3 linked regions of the Saccharomyces cerevisiae S288C genome follow. The main gene of each other region encodes a partner of the protein of the gene in region 2 in a complex. Each region holds a gene or a part of one and is shown on either strand. Other genes may lie near its edges.

Region 1 (3,246 bases), on a different chromosome or scaffold from region 2:
CTTTGCAGTTATATATGGACAATGTAGTAGAGTTTCAAAGATGAACGTAAAAGATGTGCTTTCGGGCATGAGATAGAGTAACCTCCTCAGAAGAGTAATTTCGGTCAACTTAGTGTCGTTATTAGATTCATTGCAAGTTTTCATCAGTAACATCTGCAAAAAGGCCGTGGTAATGTGCCCTGGAAGTTCTTGTAAGGCACACTTTATTTTCTCTGTGGAAGTCTCGGTTGTGGATACCCATAGCCAGTAGCGTACTGAACTTTCCAAAAACTTATTTTCGTATATTTCTGAAAATAAAGAAGCTGTCGTACACCGTAGATAGAGGTAAATTGCGCTTTGGATATCAATTTGCGGCAATAAGTGAGTACCATTTTTAGAATAATGTATTGCAGATAGAATCACAACTCCATATTGGTCCAGCTCTAAGTTCTTTTCGTCAGCTAGTTTCTTGATTTGATATGCGTAAGATACCTCATATACTAGTTGGTTAATTTCTTCTTTGAATTCGGGCGTGGAAGCGGCCGGGTTCATGAGAAGAGAGTTATAGATGCTTCTTGATTCTACCAGGCACTTTTCTAAAAGTTCTTTCATGTGGACATCCAATGATGTGACATACTCGTAGTATTGGTGGCATATCTGTAAAACTGAAGCATCGATTTCATTTTCATCTGTTTTTTTATGCATCAATGTTTTGAAATATATCTTGTCAATATTACCTGGATGATTTTTTAGGCAGTTGCTAATCACGAATACGCTCAGATTAGCCAGTAGTTTTTTCTGTAAGGCAGATTCATCATCATGAATTTTTTCAAGATCGTTTGTACTAATACCATCGGTCAGACTAGCAGATGGTTGAGCTGGAGAGTAATTAGTACAAAAATTGTACACTATGCGCAAAATAAAGTGTGGATCATCCATAGCCTGAACGTTGGTTGTTACATACTTAATAATTGCAGAAGTTACCATGGCTAGAAATTTAGATGGATATAAAGTGTCCACACGTTTCAACAATAAACTCATAAATTCAAAGAGAACGTAAATTTTCAAATTTGGAATGAATTCTACTGTATTTTTGGCCATATAGTGCCCAATCTCCGGAGTGATAACTGACAGCTCATCAGTAATGTTTGACGCATCATTTCTATTGGAGTCATTTAAATCTTCATTCTCTTCATCGGAGTCGCCAGTTTCAGTTAAGACTATATGGAGTGTTGACACCAATTCGCAAGCGGTCAACAAGCATTCTTTCGGATTTCCATTGATGGCTAGCTCATTGAAGCATTCCATCACACTAGAAACAAGGGGACTAAAAACTAGATGTATATTGACATTGATGTTTTTGCGTGAGAAAAACTGCAATAAACCCTTTGGCAGATCCCAGCCAATTTCCTTTAAGGTAACTGGATTATCCTTAAGTATTTTCAATAGGGCATCCAAATAACGTTCCTTTTCTTTTATAGACTTTCCAGAGTTCACCTGCTCGTTGTACATATCAATGATTGTTACAAGTGAGACAAAATCATCCTTCTCCTCTTGGAAAGCCCTGACAAGGCTTTTACAAATTGTTTCAATTGACTCACCCATACTTTCTGAGCCCTTCCTCTTGACGGTGAGTTCTTTTAGCCTTTTAGACCCAGGATAATATGTATTTTCCTTTATTCTTAGATGAGAGGTTTTTGGACCTCAGCGCAAGTTAGTTTCACAGCGAAACGAAGGAAAAAAGAATAATAATTACAAACAAACGCCAAAATCAAACGCGATAAAGAAAGATAGGCTAAGTAATCTGGACTGGTGACTCAAGTATTACTAAAGAAGATAATTTGAAACTTGAACAAGTCTTCAATATGAGTGAGCAAAGCCAATTAGATGATTCGACTATAGACAAACTGATTCCACAGATTTTCAATGAGATGAGATCTAACCTCAATAACACGACCAATAAATTTCCAAAAAGCACAGGAGGTGGAGCAAGCGATAATATTTCGGCTAACAGCAATTCTATAAGATCGTTTAATTCAATCACAACGCAATCCTTACTCAAAGAATCAGAATCGTTAGATAAAATAACAGCAATGATAAAAAATGTTACGGCCGCATTAAAAAATAACTTGCCAGTATACGTTAATCAAGTACATGAGGTATGTAAATCTACGAATTCCATTTTAGATTCATGGATCAACATTCATTCTCAAGCTGGTTATATTCATAAATTGATGAGCGATCAAACCTATTTAAAGCTAATTAATGATAGACTGCACAATGAAAATGTAAACACAAATGATGAAGATGGGAGTACTTTACACAACGTGATAGCGTTGAAAAAGAAGGAGATCTTGGATTTGAGACAAAAATTAGAAAATAGGAAGGGTGAAAAGGATGCTGCACCAGCAAAGCCACCAAATCAAGGCTTAAATCCAAGGTACGGTGTGCAATCTGGTAGAAGGCCCGTTCCTTCGGCAGGAATTTCAAATAACGGAAGAGTAAGAAAGACCCATGTTCCTGCCTCGAAAAGACCTAGTGGTATACCAAGAGTAACTAACAGGTGGACTAAGCCCACTGCTAGCAGCTCAAGGAAGATGTTTCGCTAAAAGATGCTTTCGGGAATGTATCTAGGATTTATTGTATATGGAATTTAAATCGAAATAGTAGATAAATTAATGATGAAAAAAGGACACGTTAATTGGATGCGTTAAATTATTATTTTTTTTTTTATTTAACTTTTGTTCCTAATTATGTATTAGTATTTACTGGTCGTCAAAAAATAGGAAAGGTAAATAAATAAGATTCGGGTATATTATACATTATAAATGAGAACTAACCGGTTCATGCCTTAGTTTCAACAGGAACTTGGTCTTCTAATAGAACTAATAAATCAGAAGAGTCCACATTTTCACCATCAGAGACAAACACTTCTTTAACTTGTCCATCGGATGGAGAAGATATAATCATTTCCATTTTCATGGCGCTTAATACGGCTACAGGTTGGCCCTTCTTTATTAGTGATCCTTTATGAACTTTAACTTCAACAATGACACCTGCCATTGGTGCACCAATGTGTAATGGATCATGCATGTCTGCTTTGGATTTAGTAACAGTTTCCACTTTTTGTGATCTGTCAGCAACACGAATTTTTCTCATTTCACCATTCAAATCAAAGTAAACTTCTCTTTCACCGGTCTTTTTGTTCAAATCACCCACAGCCTGTAGCTTGATAATTAGCGTTTTACCTTGTTCGATTACAACTTC
Region 2 (3,147 bases):
GAAAGAATCATAAATATGATACCAAACCAAAATGCTAGCAACCATTCGAAACAAGCACTCTTAGATCTATCATTGATAGCACCAAAACAAATGGCCCATACAACTGCGAGAGTTAACCATATAACTTTTAGAGTTGCACTGATGGTAAATTTATTCCATACATGGCCTTTCCATTTATACCAAGGCAGCTCATCCACAGTGTTATAATCTTGGTTAAAGCTTTTTTCAGATGATTGAGGATTGAAATGAGGGCTGGCTAGGGGGTGGACTGAGGCATAGTGCCTTCCCATGAGGAAATACTCTGCAATCAAGCAGCAAGTGGATAGGAACATGAAGACGACGAAAACAGAGACCATAGCAATGTGAACGCGATGGTACAGGGCGGTTGAGAAGATGGAACTGAATAAAAGGGCTAGTTCACCAATGCTGCCGAGAACAAAAGCTGCGAAAATCAGGTTCCGTTCATCCTTTGTGTAATATGGAGGCATTAAGTATTTACCGCTGTGCAATTTCTCAGCATAAGATGTGGAATCAGAGATAGAAGGGTCTTTTTTTTTCAGTTGGAAAGGCAGATAGCCGGATCTTTGAAAAAACTCAAGGGCAACAGTGATTACATAGCCTAGACCCTGCCAGCCGGCGCACGATATAAACAGTGGCCTTAAATTAGTGGCACCTATATCTGAAATGTACACAGGGAATTGCTCCGAGTGCATGAACCAATATATGGGATGGCCTTGACTGGCCCAGCAAATAAGCATGGCTATCAGCATACCATACCATGGAATGAAGGCAATCCAGGGTACTATGAACAGCCAGTTACCTGGACTTTTAAATTGAATCATGCTATTGCTTGTACCTTCTATGTGTTTTTACTATGTAGCAGAACTTTTTACTATGAATGTTAAAAGTATCTAAAGGAAAAAAAATCCCGCAAAAAATTGTGTCTTATTATTTAGGTTTTTAGTTGTCCAGATGTTAAATCAGTAAATCTCAACTTCAGGGAATAACTATATTTATAAACTGAATGCCCCTAAGAAGGAGTGAAAATTCCGGTTTCATTCTCCTTCGCTTAGATGACAAATCTTCCAGGCTGAAAAAAGTTGCTATTTTTCCAGTTTTTTTTTTTCATCCATTTACTTTACTGCCGCGGATCCTTCAATTGAACAGAGCCCTTAAGCCGCAGAGGGGTAAGAGATCTTCGTTTTTGAACAGCCGTGGAAGATGTTTAGAGTTGGATATGGCTGGCAAGACCGTTGTGTTAGTCTTCATTGATAATCTTGGGCCTTATCCCGTCCTACTTGCACTATTATAGTGGAAATGCGATATGTCCGGTGCGTCATAGAGGAACGGAGGCCCTTGCTTGATTAGTAGCTACTCCGATTAAATGCGGTAGTGCCGCGCGGGTAACAGAACAGCGAGTTTTTCCTGTTTTCTTTTCCGTTCTTTTCCGTTTGTTTCCGTTCTTTTCCGTTTTTTTTTTCCGTTTTTTTGGTTTGTTTTGGTGAGCTGAGGCATCAACAAAATAGATATCTACAGTTTGGGGTGGGAATAGAGCCAGGTTGATCAACGTATGGAAAGAGCAACATAAGGGATTGTTGACACAAAAAATGGATTCTGCAAGCAAAGAGGAAACATTGGAAAAACTTGATCAAGAAATTACAGTGAACCTGCAGAAGATAGACTCTAACTTGAGTTTCTGCTTTCATAAGATCACCCAGGACATCATCCCACACGTGGCTACATATTCAGAAATATGTGAGCGGATCATGGATAGCACCGAATGGCTGGGGACTATGTTTCAAGAGACTGGGCTGGTGAATTTGCAGGCAAATGCAGCTGCACCAGTGGGAAACGCTCCAGTCAAAAGCCTTGTGAGCAATAATGTTGGTATATTTCCTACATCCGCTGAAGAGGCGAGTAGGCAGTCCCAGACAGACAATGGGCCTAACGAGGCAGATTCAGCTGTACATGTCAACCGGGATGTCCATTCTATGTTTAATAACGACAGTATAGATGATTTCCACACAGCGAATATAACATCCACGGGACAGATATTGAAACTTCCGGACTCTAGCGACGAAGATACTGGTTCAGAGGCGGTGCCTTCAAGGGAGCAAACAGACCTTACAGGCGAGGGTCATGGTGGAGCTGATGATGAGCAAGATGAAAGTACAATACAGAGACAAAGCCGCAAAAGAAAGATTTCGCTACTTTTGCAGCAGCAGTACGGGTCTAGTTCCAGCATGGTACCGTCTCCGATTGTGCCCAATAAAATGCGGAAGCAACTGGCTCATGAAGAACATATTAATAACGACGGCGATAACGACGATGAGAACAGCAATAATATAGAGAGCTCGCCTCTGAAGCAGGGGCACCACCACCCGAAGGGACAAGCGGATGATAACAACGAAGGGCCCGATGAAGAAGAGAGTACGAAAGAAGTACCAAAGCCTGGGACCATCATTCATTTTTCTACGAATAGATAGAATAAATAAGTACATACAATTTTTACTAGTGATGAATATCAGAACGCAGGGTAATGGGCCCGCTATATTTTTTCTTCGATATAGGGAGAGCCACATTCAGAATATTCAGAGTATTTGCATGTAGAAATTTATTCTAAGTGCGCCAGATATATGCCGGGAGAGGTCATTAGAAAACATCTGTTTGTGTTTTAACTTGAATTACAATAACAATAATACCAGTTTTATATGGGGAATATAATGTCAGCTAGTTTTGCGCCTGAATGCACTGACCTGAAGACGAAATACGATAGTTGTTTTAATGAATGGTATAGCGAAAAATTCCTGAAGGGAAAATCCGTTGAGAACGAGTGCTCAAAACAATGGTACGCTTATACTACATGTGTCAACGCAGCTCTCGTCAAACAAGGTATTAAGCCTGCTCTAGACGAAGCTAGGGAGGAGGCGCCGTTTGAAAATGGCGGCAAACTAAAAGAAGTTGACAAATGAAGTATATATTTTAGCACAGAATGTGCATTATTCAACATGTAAATACTAATACTGCAATATCGACTTATAATAATGTATAGTGATCCGTATATTAATAGATCTGTTTCAATTCTTTACCTTTTTAGGATATCCGTCACCCGTGATTCCGTCGGAGGTGAGCACTCGCCCAAATAAA
Region 3 (2,695 bases), on a different chromosome or scaffold from region 2:
ATGATCAATACTGAATTGAAGAACCTAGTCATAAGGGAAGTATTTGCACCGAAATGTTTTAGAAGGAAAAGAAACTCTAATACGACTACAATGGGAAACCATAATGCGCGTTTGGGTTCCAGTCCATCTTTTTTAACACAAAAATCAAGAGCCTCGTCCCATGATGCATCGAATACGTCTATGAAGACTCTTGGTGATTCATCGTCACAAGCGAGTTTACAGATGGATGACTCGAAAGTCAATCCGAATTTGCAGGATCCTTTCTTGAAAAAATCGCTTCATGAAAAAATATCTAATGCTTTAGATGGCTCGCATTCAGTAATGGATTTGAAGCAATTCCACAAAAACGAACAAATAAAACATAAAAACTCTTTCTGCAACTCTTTATCACCCATTCTCACTGCAACCAATTCTAGAGATGATGGCGAATTTGCCACCTCCCCGAATTATATCAGCAACGCACAAGATGGTGTTTTTGATATGGATGAAGATACGGGAAACGAAACTATAAATATGGATAACCACGGCTGCCATCTTGACTCTGGTAAAAACATGATTATAAAGTCATTGGCGTATAATGTTTCAAATGACTATAGTCATCATGATATTGAATCAATTACGTTTGAGGAGACGTCCCACACCATTGTTTCAAAATTTATCTTATTGGAAGATTTGACAAGAAACATGAACAAGCCTTGTGCACTGGATCTAAAGATGGGGACAAGACAATATGGCGTAGACGCCAAAAGAGCCAAGCAACTGTCACAGCGTGCAAAGTGTTTAAAGACCACTTCTAGGCGTTTAGGCGTTAGAATCTGCGGATTAAAGGTTTGGAACAAAGATTATTATATCACAAGAGATAAATACTTTGGTAGAAGGGTTAAGGTTGGTTGGCAATTTGCTAGGGTACTTGCACGTTTTTTGTATGATGGTAAGACCATTGAAAGTTTAATCAGGCAAATTCCAAGGTTGATCAAGCAACTAGATACTTTGTATTCTGAAATTTTTAATTTGAAAGGTTACAGGCTATATGGCGCGTCTTTATTACTAATGTACGATGGAGATGCTAATAAATCAAATTCTAAAAGGAAAAAAGCTGCTAATGTTAAAGTCAACTTGATCGATTTTGCACGTTGTGTTACTAAAGAAGATGCAATGGAATGTATGGATAAATTTCGTATACCCCCAAAATCGCCAAATATAGAAGATAAAGGGTTCTTACGAGGTGTGAAGAGCTTGAGGTTTTATCTGTTATTAATCTGGAATTATCTGACTTCTGATATGCCGTTAATTTTCGATGAAGTAGAGATGAATGATATGATTAGCGAAGAAGCAGATTCGAATAGTTTCACCTCCGCCACCGGTTCGAAAATCAACTTCAACAGTAAGTGGGATTGGTTAGATGAATTTGACAAAGAAGACGAAGAAATGTATAATGATCCAAATAGTAAACTAAGACAAAAATGGAGAAAATACGAGCTTATTTTCGACGCTGAACCAAGATACAATGACGATGCTCAAGTTAGTGATTGAAAAGAAAGGATAGAACTAATGAATATTCTTTTAGCTGCGCTTATTTCAGTCCGTAAATGCATTTATCTATTCGTAACTATCATTATTTTGATTGCATAATCCAATAAATACACAAACGAGCATAGCATATATAACTATATATATGAAAAGACAAACGAATTTGTACGTGTATGAATATGACTACACGGTTATAGGCGATCACTAGAACCATTGAGCGGAAAGGGCCACCTCCGGGTAAAAGTCAAGGCCGCGAAAATAACAAAGGGAATAAACAGTCACCTTTAACAAGAGGAGGTAGTAATTAGCGTAGGAATAGGACTGATGAAGAGCTCGGACGTGTGAGGATATATGTACATATGATGGCTAGTACATCCAATGATGAAGAAAAGTTGATATCAACCACTGACAAATACTTCATCGAGCAGAGGAATATAGTATTGCAGGAGATCAATGAGACTATGAATTCAATCTTGAATGGTCTGAATGGTCTCAATATATCATTGGAGAGCTCGATAGCTGTGGGAAGAGAATTCCAGTCAGTTTCTGATTTGTGGAAAACACTTTATGATGGGTTGGAAAGTTTATCAGACGAAGCGCCCATCGACGAGCAACCTACTTTATCTCAATCGAAAACGAAGTAAAGTTGCGGTTCCCTCTGTCTCTCCTAATATTATCCTAAATTTATGTTTACAGTCGCAAATTAGATAAAGGATACGTAAGATATAAATTGTAATTTTAGCCTAATGATAAGTAAGTTGTGGACAACTTTTGCACGTTGAAAAAAGTGGAGGGCCACCGAACTCTTTTTCAAACGTTCTCCTCTTTGAACTTAGTTGTCTACCGTTTTGGATGGTAATAGCTGTTTCTTGGATAGACCTACCTTATATTTAACCTTGTTAGAATCCACCTGATAGAATGTCTTGTTCGTTTCATATATCAAGTCCTTTAGGCTCTTCTTCTTCCTTGGAGGGCTTTTCTTCATTGAAGGTGGTGGTTGTAGCCTGTCAAGCTCTTTCGAGGGACCTCCTTGGTATTGATCTTGTTCTCTTACTCCTTTTTTGGCGTCCAGATAAGCACCCCCATTGGGGCTTCCGCCACCTGTGTTCTCAGACAGATTTTTGGCACGAAGTTGTTGTTTTTCCAATTCCAAATTAAACAGTCT

The links.
Region 1: ASK1 (region 2) and DUO1 share a complex: the UniProt entries of both Saccharomyces cerevisiae proteins name them as parts of the DASH complex.
Region 3: ASK1 (region 2) and DAD1 share a complex: the UniProt entries of both Saccharomyces cerevisiae proteins name them as parts of the DASH complex.

What each region holds. Positions count from the first base shown.
Region 1 is NC_001139.9:388,310-391,555, reverse strand, and holds DUO1 (Duo1p), read left to right. Parts: upstream 1-1,844; coding exon 1,845-2,588; downstream 2,589-3,246. Other genes in the region: YBP2 (Ybp2p), read right to left, coding at 1-1,491; PYC1 (pyruvate carboxylase 1), read right to left, coding at 2,824-3,246. UniProt on the Saccharomyces cerevisiae protein: Component of the DASH complex that connects microtubules with kinetochores and couples microtubule depolymerisation to chromosome movement; it is involved in retrieving kinetochores to the spindle poles before their re-orientation on the spindle in early mitosis and allows microtubule depolymerization to pull chromosomes apart and resist detachment during anaphase.
Region 2 is NC_001143.9:339,007-342,153, reverse strand, and holds ASK1 (Ask1p), read left to right. Parts: upstream 1-1,607; coding exon 1,608-2,486; downstream 2,487-3,147. Other genes in the region: SFK1 (Sfk1p), read right to left, coding at 1-842; MDM35 (Mdm35p), read left to right, coding at 2,712-2,972. UniProt on the Saccharomyces cerevisiae protein: Component of the DASH complex that connects microtubules with kinetochores and couples microtubule depolymerisation to chromosome movement; it is involved in retrieving kinetochores to the spindle poles before their re-orientation on the spindle in early mitosis and allows microtubule depolymerization to pull chromosomes apart and resist detachment during anaphase.
Region 3 is NC_001136.10:477,953-480,647, reverse strand, and holds DAD1 (Dad1p), read left to right. Parts: upstream 1-1,889; coding exon 1,890-2,174; downstream 2,175-2,695. Other genes in the region: inositol polyphosphate kinase KCS1, read left to right, coding at 1-1,533; HED1 (Hed1p), read right to left, coding at 2,363-2,695. UniProt on the Saccharomyces cerevisiae protein: Component of the DASH complex that connects microtubules with kinetochores and couples microtubule depolymerisation to chromosome movement; it is involved in retrieving kinetochores to the spindle poles before their re-orientation on the spindle in early mitosis and allows microtubule depolymerization to pull chromosomes apart and resist detachment during anaphase.